Linked DNA regions of Saccharomyces cerevisiae S288C. The gene in region 3 interacts genetically with the main gene of each other region. Each region holds a gene or a part of one and is shown on either strand. Other genes may lie near its edges.

The links. A genetic interaction does not mean that the proteins touch.
Region 1: mutations in SPS2 (region 3) and RSF1 together harm fitness more than expected from each alone (negative genetic interaction), as found in Saccharomyces cerevisiae (2 studies listed by BioGRID).
Region 2: mutations in SPS2 (region 3) and DPH1 together harm fitness more than expected from each alone (negative genetic interaction), as found in Saccharomyces cerevisiae (2 studies listed by BioGRID).

Annotation. Positions count from the first base shown.
Region 1 is NC_001145.3:329,170-334,807, forward strand, and holds RSF1 (Rsf1p), read left to right. Parts: upstream 1-1,623; coding exon 1,624-2,754; downstream 2,755-5,638. Other genes in the region: FAR8 (Far8p), read right to left, coding at 1-1,062; EIS1 (Eis1p), read right to left, coding at 3,043-5,574. UniProt on the Saccharomyces cerevisiae protein: Mitochondrial and nuclear transcriptional activator required for respiratory growth.
Region 2 is NC_001141.2:170,178-175,912, reverse strand, and holds DPH1 (2-(3-amino-3-carboxypropyl)histidine synthase), read right to left. Parts: upstream 4,163-5,735; coding exon 2,885-4,162; downstream 1-2,884. Other genes in the region: XBP1 (Xbp1p), read left to right, coding at 1-606; YIL102C (uncharacterized protein), read left to right, coding at 1,026-1,331; YIL102C-A (uncharacterized protein), read left to right, coding at 2,321-2,548; Hsp90 cochaperone SHQ1, read left to right, coding at 4,408-5,735. UniProt on the Saccharomyces cerevisiae protein: Catalyzes the first step of diphthamide biosynthesis, a post-translational modification of histidine which occurs in elongation factor 2.
Region 3 is NC_001136.10:1,480,980-1,489,292, forward strand, and holds SPS2 (Sps2p), read right to left. Parts: upstream 4,325-8,313; coding exon 2,816-4,324; downstream 1-2,815. Other genes in the region: URC2 (Urc2p), read right to left, coding at 106-2,424; putative serine/threonine protein kinase SPS1, read right to left, coding at 4,587-6,059; GTPase-activating protein AGE1, read right to left, coding at 6,563-8,011. UniProt on the Saccharomyces cerevisiae protein: Involved in middle stages of meiosis. Redundant with SPS22 for the organization of the beta-glucan layer of the spore wall.

The sequences.
Region 1 (5,638 bases), on a different chromosome or scaffold from region 3:
TATACAATCCAGAATGTTTGTGGAATCATTACTATCATCGTCATCATTATCATGTGTTATTTCATATGTTTCTTTTATGTTAATTGGGACATCCTCAGGAGCCTCTATATTGTCCAATTCCCAGATTCTAATTTGAGATTTATTCTTACTAGCTATCAACAACCATTTATTTTTGAAGTCTATATTAATGATATCACTAGACGAAAACGGCTGTTCTGAGTCTTGTAATAGGTCCACATCTGAGATCAAAGATGCGCTAGAAATAGAGAACAATTTCAAATGGAAACTCTTTTCAATAACAAGGAGTTTGGACGTCGAAACCCAGAAAAATTTCATAATGTCGCTATCTTGCCCTAAAGATATTTTCTTTAAGAGTTTGGAATTCAAGTTTGCGTCCACTTGGTGTATTTCTAACGATTTGGTGTCTGCATCATAAAGTGCCATACAGTCCCCGTAGGAGCTGATAATGTCGACTTTCGACAATTCCGAGTGTATCTTGGATATTGTTTCATTATTTTCACGCTTGTTGGCTGTGCTAAACAAAGATTTCACTTTGGTTGGTGATGGTGACTCTGAAGGACCTTGCTTTGGATTGGGTTTGGTGTCCAAGAGGGCATTATTTAAAATATCCATCCCATTTGTCTTCGCACTGCCCTCTTCCTTGGGAGTATTCACGTTCAGTTTCTCTAAATCGTGCAATTCAGAACCCGCTTCTCTGCTATTTAATGACTCTAACTGATTGACCGTGTTAGGGCCTTTCAACAAATAAATTATTTCCTTCACATTTTCTTGAACAGCTAGCTTAGACTGCAGTAATGAATCAGGCACATGTTTTTCTTCCTTTTCACCTTCAGGAGAAACAGCTTTCGATTGTATTTGATTCAATTGATGCTTCAAATCTCTATTTTCGCCCTCTAGTTCTGCAATTCTTGCTTTCATTTCCGACCTTTCTAGCTCCCAGGTGATTCTATCTCTTTCATTCTTCGTGAACTCCGTTTGCAAGTAGTGCATTACACCAGGTAACGTGTAATGCGGATGAACATGTGCCTGGTTAATAGCCATATTGTTTTCCGGTCTAACTACACGCACTTACTTCTTTTGGGTTTCTTTATTAATGTTGTTGCTTGCTCCTCACATTTAGTCGTTCTAGGTGGCTTTTATCTAAGATTACGCGACGGGGAAGATCGCAAAGTTAAGACCAATAGAGTACTATACCATATCCCAACAAAGAAGCCTAGGGGATGGTGCAGCAGTAAAAACTGAATAGACTATAATAGATCATCCTACGTAAAACCCGAATAGGTTATCTCTTAAACCTTGTTTTCCTGTAAAGTTGTCCCGCGCATGTGAAGACGCAGAGAGTGGAGATCAATCTTAAAACAACTGAAGCAACTAGCACTTTCTTGACATTTAATAAGGAACTATTATCGCGTAAACCAAAAGAAACGCATGTAAAACATCTGCAAGTTACTCCATCATCTGACACCTAGAGACGTACGTATCAGAACGATTTGAGTGGAGGGGTACAAAAAGGGACTCTGTAGATCAAAAACTGTAATATTATCCTTTTTTTTACTTTCTGAGAAGCTATTCGAAAACAAGGAGATAGAACTACAAGCAGTTATGAAGGACCTAAATCCAGAAATGGGGAAATTTGCTACCACTAAAGGCCCTCCTCAAGACAATAGAGGCATGGTTGATATAGCGACACTGCCTAATTTTCCTGCCAACCGTAGTGGGACTCCTCGTGAGGAGATGTATCTGGCGCCCAACAAGATGGAAACTCCAAGGATACTTAATATGAATATGGTACCGGATTATTTGCAAAAAGAGAACTTCTCGCCAGATTTTTCTTCTGCTACCGTATCTGCCAAGTCATCTCCTGTCAACGTTACTCATGATGAGTCGCTTCCTCTGGGAACTATTGAATCGAATAGCACAAAGGATTCTAAATATGCAGTTCAACGGCAACAGCAACAAGTGGTAGATTTCATAGAGAATAATATGCAGCTACTGTCTTCAGAAACACTAAATTTTAGATCAGACATTATGAAAACTTTGGAGCTTCCCATTCCCAAGAGAAGAGATATTAAGGGAAACCATCTATCTAAACTATTATTTGCTAAATCACCTCTAACTATCAACACATATTGCCAATTTTATGACCGTAGAACCAAGCGAATTTGCAATCAAGAAATGATATGGAAAGATAAGAACAGTAGAGAGAAGCATGGTTCTAGAAAGTATCAAAGACATTTGAGTAAAGTTCACGATGTCCAGCTAACACCAAATAATTTTACCGAATTTTTTGATCATAATTCTCCACTTTTCCAGGAATGCTATGACTATCAATCTAGATTGATGCGTGATTTACTTGTTGAACCAGATGCCAAATTCAAAGAGAAGAAAAAGAAGAAAAAAGGGGACGTCAACGGAAATCATCCTGAAACCGGATCGAGCCTCATCAACCACCAGGTCCAACAGCAAAATGTTCGAGAACTTCAATCGAAAATAGCCATGAACGACTTGATAGAGATTCTTATCGATTTAAACATTCCGTTTTCTGTTTTAGACTACCAACCAATGAGAAATTGGCTCATCAAATATTCAATAATTTCAACAGATACTTTGCCGGATGAAGTATACTTCAAAACTGATCCAGGCGTGAATGAACTGGAACACAACAGTAGTAATTTAAACAATAGCAATAGCGGTACTCCTCATAATCATAATCAAAACCAACATACCAATTAATTAAAACTTGCTTTTAATCTGCATACATAAAACTTAGATCAAATAAATAAAAAAAAAAGTAAAACAACCATATATACTATTTCATAAGCAAAAGTAATCAAATTAAACAAAAAAAAGAAAATACAAATATTAAATTTAAATTAAGGCAATAAACATATATTATACACATAAAAAGAATAATTAAAGCGCAGATGAGAACTATCTTAATTATCAAAATTCTGTAGTATCCCACTCAACTGTTCAATATCTTAGCCGCACCATTTCTTCGTTATCTAGGCTCACTAGCAATTATTTTTTCTCTTGATTACTAATTGCATCCTGATCGTCTTCGATCGAAGAACCCTGTGAAAAGCCACTAAATGTATGTTCCAAACTATCAGGGCTAACTCCCAATGATTTATTGTTTCCTGCTTTCTGTGAAACCGAGATTTCTTTTGAATGCTCCGCTGATTTACAATCATTAGCGTCTTCTTTTCCACTTGATTTATTTCCGATCGAAATTTTTTCTTCAGGTTCCTTTGTTTGAACAGCAGAACTAGTTTCGGTAGCTTCTTTTGCGGCAGTACTCACCGGAACCCCATCACCACCTGAATTTTTCGTTTCGGCTCCCACTATCTCTTCCTTCTTTAGTTCATCACCTTCCTCTATTTTTTCAAGTTGGGTTGGTAAATCTTCAACATTTTTCTCGACGGATTTGTTTTGTGTTAAATACTCCTCAGAAGTCATACCAATCAATTTTTTAACCTTCTCTTCGTCAATCTTATCATCGCCACGTGCAGAAGCAACATCTTTCATAGCTTCCAACAAATTTAGTTTTTCCTTCTTTAACTCGATTTCGGTCGCGTTCAACTCGCTCTTACGTTCGTTAATCAACGAATCCACTTCCAATTGCTTCAGACGGGCCTCCTTGGTTGATAACTCAGCCTGCTCTTTAGCCTTATTAGCAAGAATAATAACGTCATCATTCAAATGGGATTCCAAGCTTTCTTTAGTTTGACCTAGTTCCAGTAATTTGTCATCCTCTCTGATATTTCTATTCTTCTGGGCGTCAAGATCATTTCCGTAACCAGAGATCTTTCTTTTATGGTCAACTATAGCATCCTGCAATCTTGAGATTTCTGCGTTAATTTCATCGCGCTCTTCCACTAAAGTTTTGTGTTCCGCTTCTGCATTTGCCAGATCGTCATGGTAAGGTTTCAATAGTTCTTCTTGCTCTTTGCGCGCTTCAGTGATATCTTGTTCACATTTCTTACCCCATTCCTCCAAATCTTGATCTAGACGAGCTTTTTCGTCCTTTAACTCTTGCTGCATTTGCTTTTTAAATTCGATCTCTTTGCTCTTGGTATCTTCAAGCAGAGTTTCCCTTTCAGCGACTTTGGTATCCATTCTGGCCACAAGTGCATCAAAGCTGGCTTTAATCTTTTCCTGGGAGGTCTTTTTTTCGGTTTGATGCCTATTAGCCGTAGTAGTCAATACTTTGGCGTCATTAGAAATGATAGAACGTTCCATCGTTTCCCATTCATTTGATGATTTATTATAGGCCTCAGTTCTTTCTGCAATTTCTTCATCCATAGCACGTTGCGCCTCCGCCCTCTCACTCACTTCACCAAGTACAGGAGAAATCAATCCGGATGCGATTTTAGTGATATCTTCTGGTGACAAAAACAGGCCACCACCCATGTTAATCTTGTTATGGAATTCTGTCTTTTTCTGATGATTAGACTGTGCGACAGCGACAGCAGCTTTGTTGTATTCCATATTAGTGAATAGCTTTCTATGCATATCGCTTTTTTCAATGATATCCAATTGTCTGTCAACATTGGCTCTTGCCAAAGTCAAAACTTGCTGAGAAGTTAATTGGCTCAGATAGGTTTCCCTCTTCTGCGCCTTAAGAGCTATACTTTTGTCGATATCCTCACCAGGATGCATGTCTTTCACAGCATTAGCAGCTCCTAATGCAAATTTCATCGACTTGGCTTCTTTCTCAGCAGAAACTTTTTTGACCTTTTGTAAATCTTGTGCTTTTGGAGCATCAACTTTCGCCATAATGTTATTCATCATCTCATTGGAGAAACTGAATTGATTTAAATTACCATGCTCATCAGTCTTGACGCCGTATTGGAAGTTCGTCTTTTCCGGTTCCCATCTTTCCTTAATACGAGATTCTGCCTTTTTTTCAGCACCCACTAAGACTTTCTCCAAATTCAAAGTCTTTGGTTTAGGATTAACAGTACTGTTGAAACTGCCACTCGCGCCGCTTAACACAGAGCTGGCAGAGGTGATAGAATATGACCTGCTGTTTGTTTGAGAGCTTAAACTTGTAGTTTCCATTGTCATCGAATAAGCTTTCGATGCGGCGGCCCCTGGAGATTCTTTGGACTTTCTCTTCGTCTGAGATTCTTTTGAAGTTTTAGAAGTAGCAGAAGTTATTGAGTTGTTACGTACAACTTTGGGTCCCATTTTGGATGCAGCTTTAGTGGCATTAGGGTCAATAAACATACGTTTGTAAGCTTCTACCGTGGTTTGATTGTCATGAGCTAAATTAGCTGCCTTGTCGGAAGCTGCATGAGCGTCGCTGACGCCAATTGAGTAACTTTGGGCAGGTGACTGGTAAACCCCGTACTTCAACTTCGCCTTATATAAAGCCTCCCTGCTTAATGGTTCGCCTGTTGTCTGGTATACCTTTGGTTTTCTCAAAGATTTAGAGCCGTGTTTCAGCGACTTTTTCGACGAAGTTATAGACGAAGTCCTGCTCCCTCCACCAGAAGTCTTTCCTATATTATGTATGTCTCTATCTTCTACAGCTGAAATTAAAGACATTGGTTATTTTGCGTTGGTTCCCTATATGCAAAGCTATTTAACAACTAAAGACTGTGTAATCGTC
Region 2 (5,735 bases), on a different chromosome or scaffold from region 3:
TCTACTTCCATGTCCCATTCCAAAGCGCAGAAACTTGTTATTGAGGACGCCTTGCCCTCATTCGACTCATTTGTAGAAAACTTGGGCCTTTCCTCAAATGACAAGAACTTCATTAAAAAAAACAGCAAAAGGCAAAAGTCGTCCACATACACCTCTCAAACTTCTTCTCCAATAGGGCCAAGAGATCCAACGGTGCAAATTTTGTCAAACCTAGCATCCTTCTACAACACCCACGGTCACCGGTATTCATATCCGGGAAATATCTATATACCACAGCAAAGATACTCTTTACCCCCACCAAACCAGCTCTCGTCGCCACAGCGGCAGCTAAACTATACTTACGACCACATTCACCCAGTTCCTTCTCAGTACCAGTCTCCAAGACACTACAACGTCCCCTCTTCACCAATCGCGCCTGCTCCTCCCACTTTCCCTCAACCTTATGGTGATGATCACTATCATTTTTTGAAATATGCTAGCGAAGTTTATAAGCAACAAAACCAACGACCAGCTCATAATACAAATACCAATATGGACACCTCTTTTTCGCCAAGGGCGAACAATTCACTGAACAATTTCAAATTTAAAACAAACTCAAAACAATAAAAATGTCATCTGTTACATTTTTGGTAATATTCTTTTATAATGGTTCTTTAATTTTTTTACATAATTTACATATTATTTCAAAGTTTTTCAAAAATATCCGTACTATATGTTTTTCCAGACAAAACATAAAACATACAATGATCTTTTTGAAGAGAGAATTAGTACACTCATTACAAGGTGTATGACGTGCCGAAGAAAAAAATTGCTTCCAATCGGATTTGAACCGATGATCTCCACATTACTAGTGTGGCGCCTTACCAACTTGGCCATAGAAGCTCGTACTTGTTGGTTCAGTACTCTTCATCAAGCTATACTATTTATCTAGGATGACGGTCACAGTGATTCGTACTCGACTGCTTCTATAATCTGTAGGTGGCTTGCGCATATCCTGAATTATCGTAATTAAAGAACCAAGTTAGATGCTAAAGGTGGAAAAGTTCAAAAAATTGAAGCGATTCGAGGTCTATTATTGTTTAAAAAATTCTTTTCTGGAAGAAGTAGATATCGAGATGAAATATTCCTGCAGTATAACAACTATAATGAGCAATGGTTCAGCAAGCTTGTTGATGAACTGGGAAGAATTAACACCTGGTCACTGTTTTACCTCTTACACAACTAACCCTATCGCAGGTGACTATGGTTTGAATGCATCAGCAATAGACGGCCACACGGAAGAGTTAGTGGCGACCCACCCAGCGGGAACCTTGGAGAATGCAACGCAGTAGGTTCATAGCATTCGCAAATAATGGCATAGCCTCACATTTGCTGATGAAAATGGTACTATTCTGCCACAGTCCTGCTCTTTCTTTACAGAAAATGAAGAACATTAGAATGTTGTGATAAAAATTTAGGGTTACTTATTTCATGAAGGCAGTAATAATACGTATGAAAACATTAGTCAATAGACGATTGATTATTATTCCAACAATAGTATATCTGAACAGCCGTACGCAAAAAAAGCAAATTTAATTGCTGACCATTATTCAGAGCAGCTGTTTTGCCAACGTTTGCTCAAGCTATTGTCCAAATCAAATAGAGAGATACGAGTAAGCTGTTCATCAATGCTATGACTTTTAAACACATTTGATTCTTACTGCGAAAATTCCACTAGACAATTAGGGCTAATATGTGACATGCATATGTGACATGCATGTGGTGCAATTGCTGTTAAACATGGGCCTGTAAGCGGGCCAGCACATCTTCAACGGCAACCTGCCTCGACGTTTGGATGGAATATACTGAACTCAATGTGATGACCTGAAGCCACAGTCAACTCCTAATTTTCGAAGTCATTGTAGCGAAAGTATTTCTTAGACGGGATACTGTTGTTTATGTTCATAAGGGTGCCTCGATAAAAACAGATTCAGCCATATCCAACCTATATGGAGTGATGAAGGAGTAAAAATCAAGTATGAAAGCTAAACCACGCAGCAGAATATCGTAGAACCCAGCAACTAACAGAAATAACTACATTTTCATAAAATCTGACCCAGATTATGGAATGAGGCTACAACTTTATTCAGTGTCTAAAAGAATAGTTTCGCACGGAGAGCTTTTCCGCCTTACATTCATTTCCGCTAGCATTCCCGTGTAAAGGAATATATTTGAAAGAGATACAAAGAAACTGTTGATGACTGCGTGTACTCTAAATGCAATACTAGCTCAAAAATGTGAATAGTCACCGGTTGGGCATAGTAAACGTCTGTTTAGTTTCATGAACCGTTTTGTAATTATTTGCCTTCTTTTTACTTATTATGTCATATGGTCGCTCCTGCCTATCTTCGAGATCGAGAACTCCAATCCAGTTGTGAGTTTACTCTTCCCCATTTCTAGCAATGTTGCAATTTTCCTGCCCATCTTCTTACTGTTGATCGGGTTTACTTTAACTGGTTCTGTTTTAGGTGTATTGCTTATACGCAGCGATAAAAAGAAAAAAGTTTAATCTAAGCCTTAAGAGGCTCGAGTCACTTCTTTCCTCGATGAGAAATCCCGGATTTCTCATCACGGTTTCCATACAAAAGTCCATGGAAATATGCTTGGCAAACTCAGTGAAAAATTTGACAATATCATTTGGGTTTGCCTGAGAAACCAGAATAAAAATAGGCTTGACCAGCAGTGATATCAAGTTAGAAGGCATTGTTTTGAATTTTAGACAATTTAGTTTCGCCTGCAAGCCGTCAAAAACGTTTAAACAATAGAAAAGATGCTCCGAAGAATATGATACTAACTATTTATACATATGTAACAGGAAGACAAGTGACAACAAAAACTATTTAAACTATTCAATCGCATGTTTCGGAGTTTCCCCACGCCCGTATCCTTTAGCTTCGTAATAATCCATTGGATAATATTTTTCGCTGAACATGACATCTTTCTTTAGTAAGACACTAGCCTCATATGGTGTTAATAGTGGTTTATTGAAGGCATAACCCCAATCGATGGACAGTCTAGGACATGCGACCTGAACAAAAACATCAATTTGATCGAACATTGCGAGCTTTTGGGGAAAAACTTCACTTAGAATAATTTTCACCACGGTTTTACCTGCTGCGATCAGGTTTTTTTCCAAGTTTTTTACAGTGTTTAAATTACCTTGTCTACCTAATGCACCTAAGATCAGACCAAAAACTTTACCCTTCCGAGCGACTTCAATGGCCTCTGCTCTAACTTCCACGAGTTGCTTTTGATCGTATCCTTCTCTAGTGAACTTTCTGTTGTATGGGTCATACTTGAATGCAGGAATTTCCGGATTATGTATCATTGCAGACTCCAAATGAAATCTACCATCACCGATGAATACCATGGCATCGTATTGTTCTTTATCTAATCTTTCAGAAGTACACCCCAATACTTCACCCCTCGATAGAGGCTTGATTTGTGGTGGAATAATATACAGCATGTGTTCTTCATCGTTAAGCAGTTTATCTCTGACGCTGTGTACCGCAGGATTAAACTGAATGGTACCAAATGTAGCGATTCTAGATCCCTTAGGAAAATTCTTCTGCAGCGTTTTGATAATATGATCTTCTTGAATATTTATAGTAACAAAGACATATAGTACTTTAATCTTTGTAACGTCAATAGGAACTAAACACGAATGAGCGTAATGCACAATAAAATCGCAATCCAATGCCCTAGCAGTAAAATCATCAATACAGCATGCACCATAAGACACATCCCCCATTACTAGAGTTTCAACACCACAGAACTGTTCCAAAATGTCACTTATAATCAATGAGTAAATCAGCAAACCTTCAGGCATCTGTAGGGCTATTCTTTTAGCATTATATTTCCTGATATTCCACACAGTTTTGTGGATTTCAAAGTTGTAGTTAGAGGGCAATAATTTGATGGCTTCATTCAACTCTTTGTCATTCAATATATCTTCTGGCACATGATTAACACTCCTACCTAGGGCGATTCTACTCTTTTGCTTGTGGATTATTTCGTTGCCATTTTCAGCCACTGTAGTTAATTTGTCATTATTACTGTTGCCAGATTTTCTCCCAATAAATCTTCTTCTTGGTTGTTTTTTAGATTCTGTAGAGCCACTCATTACGAAAAAGAAATGCTTCAAGCTATCCGATTATCCTTAAAATTCGCAGCAGATAGTTCATGAGATTTCACTTATTTTATTTGATTGTTATTACTACTACATGTTTTTTTTTTCATCACCATCGCATCGCAAAAATCAGCTGAAAAATTTTGAATACTAAATATTCAGTGTCAAGTGCTCAGAGTAATATTAAGATTCACAAAAGAAGAATACTTGCTATAATCTACCATCACTTCTGAACTATAATGATAACACCAAGATTCTCTATAACACAGGATGAGGAATTTATATTTCTCAAAATATTCATAAGTAATATTAGGTTCAGTGCAGTGGGTTTAGAGATAATCATCCAAGAAAATATGATCATTTTTCACTTATCCCCTTACTATTTAAGATTAAGATTTCCTCACGAATTAATCGATGATGAGAGGTCTACCGCTCAATACGATTCCAAAGATGAATGCATCAATGTAAAAGTAGCCAAACTGAATAAAAATGAATATTTCGAAGATTTGGACCTACCGACAAAGTTGTTGGCTAGGCAAGGCGATCTTGCAGGTGCCGATGCATTAACAGAAAATACTGATGCGAAAAAAACCCAAAAGCCCCTTATTCAAGAGGTCGAAACTGATGGCGTGTCGAATAATATTAAAGATGATGTGAAGACTATTGGTCAAATGGGAGAGGGGTTTAATTGGGAGATAGAGCAAAAGATGGATTCCAGCACCAATAATGGAATATTGAAGACAAAATATGGGTTTGATAACTTATATGATACAGTTATATCAGTGTCGACAAGCAACGGGAACGATATCAATGAATTAGACGATCCTGAACACACTGACGCGAACGATAGAGTTATTGAAAGGTTAAGAAAAGAAAATTTGAAGTTTGATCCTGAGTACTATGTTTCCGAGTATATGACACATAAATACGGTAACGAGGAAGACTTGGAAATTAACGGCATTAAAGAACTACTGAAGTTTACACCTTCGATCGTAAAGCAATACCTGCAATGGTACAAAGACAGTACGAACCCAAATCTGGTCATGCCAATTGAGTTTACTGACGAGGAACAAAAACAGATGCAGGACAATTTACCCAAGAAGTCTTATCTCGTGGAAGATATAAAACCACTTTATGTCACTATACTCAGCGTTCTTTTCAGTTATGTGTTTGAACAGATCGAAAACGAAGGTACTCATACCACAGAGAGTGCTTGGACCATGGGAAAATTGTGCCCTCAAATATCATTCTTAGACCAACAATTAAAACAGGTGAACGAACTGCAAGACGGTATGAAAGAAATATCAAAGGTTAATAAAGACAGCTCTCTCATCAAGATTGCAATCATTACAGGTATCAGGAGAGCCCTGAGTTATCCACTACATAGAAACTATGACCTAGCAATGAAAGCGTGGACATTCGTATATTATATTCTACGAGGTGGTAAGAGACTAGTCATAAGGGCGCTTTTGGACATTCATGAAACATTTCGTTTCCATGATGTTTACTACGTCTACGACAAAGTTCTCTTGGATGATCTGACTGCGTGGTTCATTTCTCAGGGTAG
Region 3 (8,313 bases):
TGCAGCAAAATAAAATAAAAGGGCTCTAACTACAATATATTAATATAAAGAAATGTTATTCAATCTAGTTTGGGTATGAATTTTTTCCCTCTTAATAAAAATAGTTTAAGTAGTTTGTTCAGTCTTCTTATCGCTGGTAAACATTTTTTGGGAATTTGGTTTTAAACTATCAAAAAAATCCTGAAAAAAGTCTTCAAAGGAATTGAATTGGTCGACGTCAGGAATCATGAAGTGACTACTGGACAAGTTCTCGTGCAAAGTACCAACATTAGTAGGCGAAGTAGCGGGTTTCGCGGCGTGCAGATTTCCTGCTCCTGTGTAGTTATTAGCATTAGTCGACATTTTATCATTATCACTATTCTCTTTTGACAAACTGCCAAAATTAATACGAGTCTTACTAGTATCAATTATAGATTTTATGATTTTTCCAACGTTATCAGTAGCCTCATTCATTTTTTCCCCTATAGTGCTCAAATGCCAGTACACTTTTGTACAAAGACTCAAAACGCGTTGACGTTCAGAAGAATCGAACCAATAAAGATAGTCACAAAGAGTTAAACAGGCGTAGACTAGTTGATGACAAGTAAAAATCGGAGCACCCCTTATTAACGTTGGCGGTAGTCTCAAAAACCCATTCAACAGCGAAAATGAATGTTCTTTCATCGTATTAAGAATTAGTTTCAAAAACCTTTGGTTGCTTTTTAGCGTGGAAGAAAATTCTGTGATAAAAGTGCGACATATCATGATATGATAAAAATCAAATGTGAACAATAGCACGCCCGCGCCATCCTTTGCTAAAAGCTCTTCCCAATTTTTCAGCCAATAATTTAGCTCTGGAAAAACAAAGATAAAAGTATCTGCGTTACCTCCATATCTGTCATTGTTAAAGTCATCCAAACACTGCGCAAAATAATTTTTAAGGTTTATAAAGATGCCATTTACGATGTCACCTAAATTTATCTCACTGATTTTAATGTCATCACCAAAATTCGCCTGAGGAAATTTCGCCACAAGTTTATTAAACTCTTTAAGCATATCATCCTGTTCCCTAATATCGCCGTAACTAATGGAATATTCTAAATAGCAGGCAGTTAGTGAATTTAGTATTCTTAGATGATAAAGATCTTCGGGATTATACACTTCTTTTACCAAAACCCTATCCTTTATCTGATAAAAATCTATTACATGTAACAAGCTATTGAGCGCAAAATTGCTTAGTACCAGAGAATTAAACTTCAGTTGCCTATATCTCTTTGCCTTTCGCGAAATATGGAACATACAGCAATATAAAATAGCCTCAATATCAAACGCTGTTAACTTTTCAAACATGGTTAACGTATTAGTGAGTAATCTCTCCACTAAAGGATACAATATTTCTTGTTCTGCAGCGTATTTATCGTTGTCAGCAAAACTCATAGCGATAATAGTAAAAACACTTGTAATAAATAGGTGTGAGTGGGCATATTCCACGTCTATCTCTTTTCTCCCACCTGGAATTATCCAGAAATGGGATCTCACCAGAAATTCTTTTGCAAGCTTATGGCATAATTCCTGATTATTCTCATAAAAATGGAGAAAGTTCACTCTTGCAACAGCATATGGCCTTTGCTGTCCAGCTAGCTTCGCAGCTTTAGATGTAGCCTTCGATGGAAATAGCCTCTCATCAATATCATGTAGCAATTTTAAAGGAGATTCCTTCAACTTAAATCCATTTAAGAAAAGATTTTCTTTTCTATATTCCCCTGTTTTCCTTATCGTCTCTGAGCCCGAAGTTAGACGACTATCGTACGTCTTATTTGAGCTGAAATCCACGTTCTGAATATCATCTCCAGGGCCTTTGATATCGCTGTTATAAGACATCTTTGCTGTGGTGATTATCAAGTCCATTTTCTGGTGTAAAGATTTTATGTGCTCTTCTAAAGATGAAAGCCTTTTATCGATCATGTAATTATCAAAATTGACCGTTCCATTCTTTTCAAAACTACTTTGGCTTTCGTTGGGAGAGTCCGCATTCAAATGAGAGAAAGAACCAAGGTTGTGATTAATTGAGTTGATCTTCTTTAGTAGACCATCCTCACGTAAAGTATTCAAAATTTCATTGTCTTTATTCCTGGCTAAGGAGCAATCAAGCTGCAGAACGTTACATCTGTAACATTTTCCAATGAAAGGTTCAAAATCGCACCTTGTCTTCACTCTCCTGCAAGTATCACAACTAAATGTTTTTCTTTTCTTTCTAGGTTTTTTGTTGCCATTATTCTTAGGACTGTTCGTTTCACTGCGCTCTTTGGCTCTTGCACTATCCTCTGGGTGGTTTATTATGGATCTGATACTATTTCGCACCTTTCCAGAAGCAGAATTATATCCAGCAGTCATCGGTAAACCATCTGGTCTGGGGCTTACTGAGGCATTTGAGTTTATATCCATTTTTTTCCCTGATGTTCAGCAAACCGAAAGAAATATAAAATACAACTGGGAAAGATGTTTTAATGGTGAGTAAGCAAAATGTGAGTGGTTTTAACCCTAAGGAAGAACCGTATCAAAACACTATTTTTCAATTAAATCATCTACCTAATGAGCTCATTTTGTTAAGATGATCTACCATAATAATTATTCAAAAACTGTCAAAATTAAAAGGAGGGTAACAGTTTCAATAGTTTAACCAGTTTTGGTAATGCCTGAAATAACATAAAAAGCTGATGCTAAGTGGGCTACGCTATGCTCCAGGTGAAGATAATCAGAACACTACATCTCTACTGCAAATTTATATCTCATAAGAACTAAATAAAATGGCTAGTATTTAAGTTAATCTTCTAACCTAAAAAATTATCGAGAACAATACCGTGAAAACTGCATAAACTGACATTTTGAAAGCATCAATAAAAATGTTCTTCGGAGCACTGTTTTCCATCTTCTTTGAACTTCCTTGACTTTTTGCACCATTTTTTCCTTTTTCTTTCTTTCCATTATCATTGTCAGTTTCCTGCTTTCCTAGTACATTCCCCTCTTCATCAACATTCAGCATTTTACTTTTCATACCAGATGTGCATTCGATTTTACCGCCTCTTATGATCGAACGACCGGCTTTTGGTGATGTAAATTCTTCACAGTTTAATTCCTCAGATGAACTTTTGATATAAGCGCTACCTTTTACTAACTTTAGCTCTGGGAGGTCAATTTTATCAAAGCTACCTTCAAAATATATTGCACCGCCAATTTGCCTCAACTTGGGGAAGAAATCAATTTTGGCAAGCTCTGTATTGTTAGCAATCATTAGACCCCCTTGAATATCGGTGGCATTCGAAAAGTTTAGCTTTTTCAGATTTTTATTATCTATTAACCCCAACGTTCCTTGAACTTTTGCCAAAAGTGGTAGTTCCAAGCTTGAAAATTGATTCTCGATGAACTCTAGAGAACTGTTCACAGAGGAAAGTTTAGCTAGTTTAATTTCTGAAACGTCCTTAATGGTCATATTTTCAACCGTGTGTAAGTTGCTCAAATCAAGTTCCAGCTCTTTGGCATTAGAGTGGACGGTTAGTTGTTTAGTAACACTTTCTAAACTTGCGAATAAATTTTCTAAAAACCTGTTATTGTTGATATTGAAAATATCCACTTTCTTGACGTTATTGAAGTAATCGATGGAGGTTAATGCAGTATCAGATATGATAATATTTTTGATCTTTTTAATATTTCCGTTAATGACAACACTACTTAGAATAGGCAAAACTCTCCAATCAACGGTTTCAACTTCTTTTAAAGCGGGAAAGTCTAATGATACAAAGGAAGTTAGGCTATCCAATTCCAACTTTCCCAAAGACTCTAAATTATAACCCTGGATTCTAAAAATGTGTTTGTTATTCTTGATAATAAGATCTCCCTCTATCTCTCTTATTAACCCTAGATCAATAAGAGATCCGCTGTAGTTACTTGATATTTCAATGTTTCCTACCACTTTCCAACATTTAGCTTGCAGTTCAATCAAATTTCCAGCATTCTCAATATGATACAAGCCTTTTTTACAGTCTTCATCTACTTGTGTTTGTTTTGTTGGAGAAATCACCTCAAAATCAGTTTGTTCCTTTTTAGGGATCGTTGCATTAGTGTTAACCAACATAATGTTGTGATCTAGAATATTCGGTCCACCATTAGGTTCAACTGCAGCGGATGATTTAATTAACTGCAGAAACAAGAATAAAAATCTTAAGATTGTGTTCAACTGGTTCAACATGCTATCCTTTTCTTTTTTTGTAGAAACTTTGGTTTCTTTATTGACTATTTGAATAACAGAAATACTAGTGAAGAATGTTTGTGTTTTCCAAATTGGCATTTTCTTTTATAGTCTAAGTAATGCCACAAAATATTTTTTTTGAGACGCATCAATGACGGGACAGTAAAGACATAAACGCTCGATCAGAAAAAAAGAATCGAAAAAAAAAGGGAGAAATAAGCAGGTAAATAATCAAAAACACATGACTTTTTACTGTTTGTTATATAATTCAATATATCCATCCTTCATTTATTGAAGATGAAAGAGAATGGAAAACAAAAACTCATGCATATACACACATTATATATATATATCTATTTTTTTAAACGAATCCTTTCTTTATTGCTTCAATTCTTAGTGAGATCTCTTCTATAAAAACCTCATTAAATCCAGGAACGTTTGCCTCAGTTTTAATGAATTGCTTTAACATTTCATTTACGTATTTTCTTGTTTCATCGTCGCGCGCACGATCATACATTCTGTTGAGAATATGAGATACAATGTTTTTCAAGTAGTCAAACTTTTCTATCTTCAACGCCTGAATATCGTTCTTTTTATGCTTCTTATTATGATTAGAGAGAGGAACTATTTCGGTCTCTGCTTGAGCATTTGGGCAGCCTGAATCTATATCCATTCCTGAATCAAGCTCGAAAACTGGTTGCGTACATTTTCTAAATGATGAAGAACTTGGGTTGGTTATCGGCGTTACAGTTTGCCCATGAAGTAAATAAGGACTTTCCATATTTAAAGATGATGTTGGAGAGTCTTGTGTAATGGGAGATAATTCCTCTTTGGAAATTTGTGTTGTGCTTAGTCTTGTCGATTCAAAATTCCAAAATTCCTTTCCCCTCACTGTGTTGCTGTTTTTATACAAGCGATTTTGAAGAGGGTATTTGGGAACTTTTGTATATCTCTCCTGAACCTTTTTCTGTTTAATTAGATCAACATCACTTTTCAAGTTCGTTATGGTGATATTCTTAACAAATTCAAATGATAACAAGTTATATGCCGATGGCCGATCAGCAGGTGTTTTAACAAGACAACCAGCTACGAAATCCTTTGCTGCATCCGAAAAGGGACCTTGTAATTTTGGAGGCTTCCTTTTTGGTAAGTTAGTCATAACTTTCATAGGATCATATTTAGATAATGGGGGTAAGCCCTTGAGTAACTCATAGGTGGTGATACCCAAGGACCATATATCTGCTTTCTCATTATACCCATCAACTTCGCAGCAAACAACTTCCGGAGCCATCCAATACGGCGTTCCTACAAAAGTGTCCCTTTTCAAAGTGGAACGAATGTGGCCACTTACTCCGAAATCACCCAACTTAACCATACCTTCTTCATTTAGTAAAATATTAGCTGCTTTGATATCACGATGAATTTTCCTTTGCTCATGCAGGTATTTCAAACCCAAGGTGACTTCATGAATAATGAAGGAAACTTTTTCTTCAGGCAAACCGTTGACGTAACTTCGCTTCAGTAAATCTGAACATGATCCACCGCCGCAATATTCCATGACAATCCACATAGAGACATCTTCTAACATTGTTGCAATATAGTTTGTAATAAGAGGAGATTTCAATTCCGCCAGAAAAAAAATTTCCTGTGCTAACAGTTCAATGTCTTCGTCGGAATGCTCCAGGTTGACCACCTTAATTGCCACAATTTCTTGCGTAACTCTATCCACTGCTTTATACACATCACCAAAGTTACCTCTGCCAATACATGATTGGATGGAATATAGCTTCGATGGAGGGGTTCTTGACCTAATTGATATTTCTTTGCTTTCCATTTTGTGCTATTTTCTTTTGTTGTTTAGTAAATGAATTAGCTAGTAAAAAAACTAAATTTAAAAAGCAAATGCTGGTTTGCTTTCTTTTGAGAAATGTTTGCTAAGACAACTGACTAGCCAGGTGTTCACTAAATCGATAATATTGAAAATGGCAAAATAAGAAAAAAAAAGAAGAGAATTAGCTGGCTTTTTTTGGATAGGAAATATTAAATGAAGCAGTTGGAACCAAGATAATAAACAAAAACAGTATATTAAGTGACTCTTTAGTATATATCTGAACTAACAAGTAAAATATCGATGTTAGAAATGGTTACAATAGAAGAAAGTAGTGTCATTCTTTCGCGTCAAAAAAAAAAAATGGAATTTGTGTCTTTTTCGTTTTTATGTGTCATTTTTTTTTATCCCTGATGCCGCATTGTTCCGAACCTGGGACAGCTCCGAAATATAACTTGAGGAAAAAGTATTAGAAAAGGGAAAAAAATACAGTTAAATTATCATATATGTTATTTTTTGTCCTTTTTGGCCAATTTTAAAGACTTATGCATTGTTAATAAGTTTGTTGGGGACATCAAATTTTGAGAAGACTTAGGAATGGAGCTCAAACTCCACCTTTTACTTGCTGAGGCACTTCTTTCAGGTATGTTAACTCTCAAATCGTGTTTCTTATTGTAGGACGAAGCTGAATCTACATTTGAATGCATATTTAAATGCGGCCCTGATCTTGGACGAGAAGTATTTACAGCTTGGAATGTTCCGTACATCTCCAACTTAGTTTCCCAATATTCTAAAACCTTTGGAGACCAATTCGTAGTAATCTTCGGTAAATTATCTATATGAATACCATTGCACAATAAAAATTCTGTAATAAAAAAAATGGGCGTTCCATCAACAATTTCATAGTGCTTTAGGGAATATTGAAAAATGGAAGAATGGTTTAGATCATTCTGCTCTTTTTCGCTTGCCGTCAATTCTCTTAGGGAATATTTACTTTGGGCGATGGCTCTTTGCATCATGAAAACACTATCTAAATGGATAGCTTTAATTAAAGACTTCAAAGAAGCCTCTCTGCCTTGGTTGCTGTCGATAACAAACTTTTTAAATTGATACTTATCAATAATGAATTTGGATCTTTCCGAGTCATCAGAATTTGCAGTTATTTTTTTAACTGGAAAGTTCCTGAGATTGCTTTCATAAATGGCATTAACATTACTATTGGAAACATTATTTTGTAAAAGATGCATCAACTCTAACGAGGTGAAATTATCCAGCGTTAAAGATCTAATTTTGGAGATATGTGAACCCAGAGATCGATGAACGCCCGAACATTTGATACACAATATACACAATAAATTGATTGACACCCATTCTACTGTTGCGGTGCTACCGCAGTCACAACACTTCAAATTAGATTTATCAATTTTGCGCACGATTGATAGCAGTTCGTCTCTATTGGAGGCTCCCGCATTAGCAAAAGAGAAATGCTGTGTATGCTGTTTGGAGGAATCTGTTTTTGTAGGAATACGGTTATTACTATTACTGTTGCTACTGCTACTATGAATGGGATGAGTTTGATGATTGATGTGATGAGAATGCGTAGATTTGTGTTGGCTCCCACTAAGACGGGTTGATAAATATGTAAATGACAGTTGGGGTGAACGAAATGGAAATCCTGATGGTAAAGAAGGAGGTATTTGTAGTAATATCAATGATTCTTTCGCGGCCATTAATAAAGCGATGCTTTTTAAAATAACACAATATACCTCAAAACCTCGATCATCCTCGCAGCGGTTCGTTTGAAATTTACATCGAAGAGATTTAAGAAGAATATTAGTTAACTTTAACGCGTTGTTGCACCATGATGGATACTGTGCTTTTGATGCTGTTCTTGCTACTGTTCCTTTACTGAACAAAGGCACAACATTTTTGTTGATATCAGTAGTATAAAAATCCATTATTGATGGAACATCCAGAAAAATGTATTCAAAATGACTGGTACAGCTACCTTAACCACTCTGCCTCAATGTGATTTTTATCCTCTTTTTCGCTCAAATTTTTACTTTTCTTCTCTCTTCGTCAAGTACTATTATAACGACAGCGATAGGAAAAAAAACCAACATCGGACGAGAATAAATAATACTTTAGCGTTCAAAATGACATTCCTTTAAAATTCGATATGAAATTTTCCGCGATTAATTCGCCGAGAATACGACAAAAAAAAAGATAAACATCAGAAAATTCTATTATTAGATTAGAT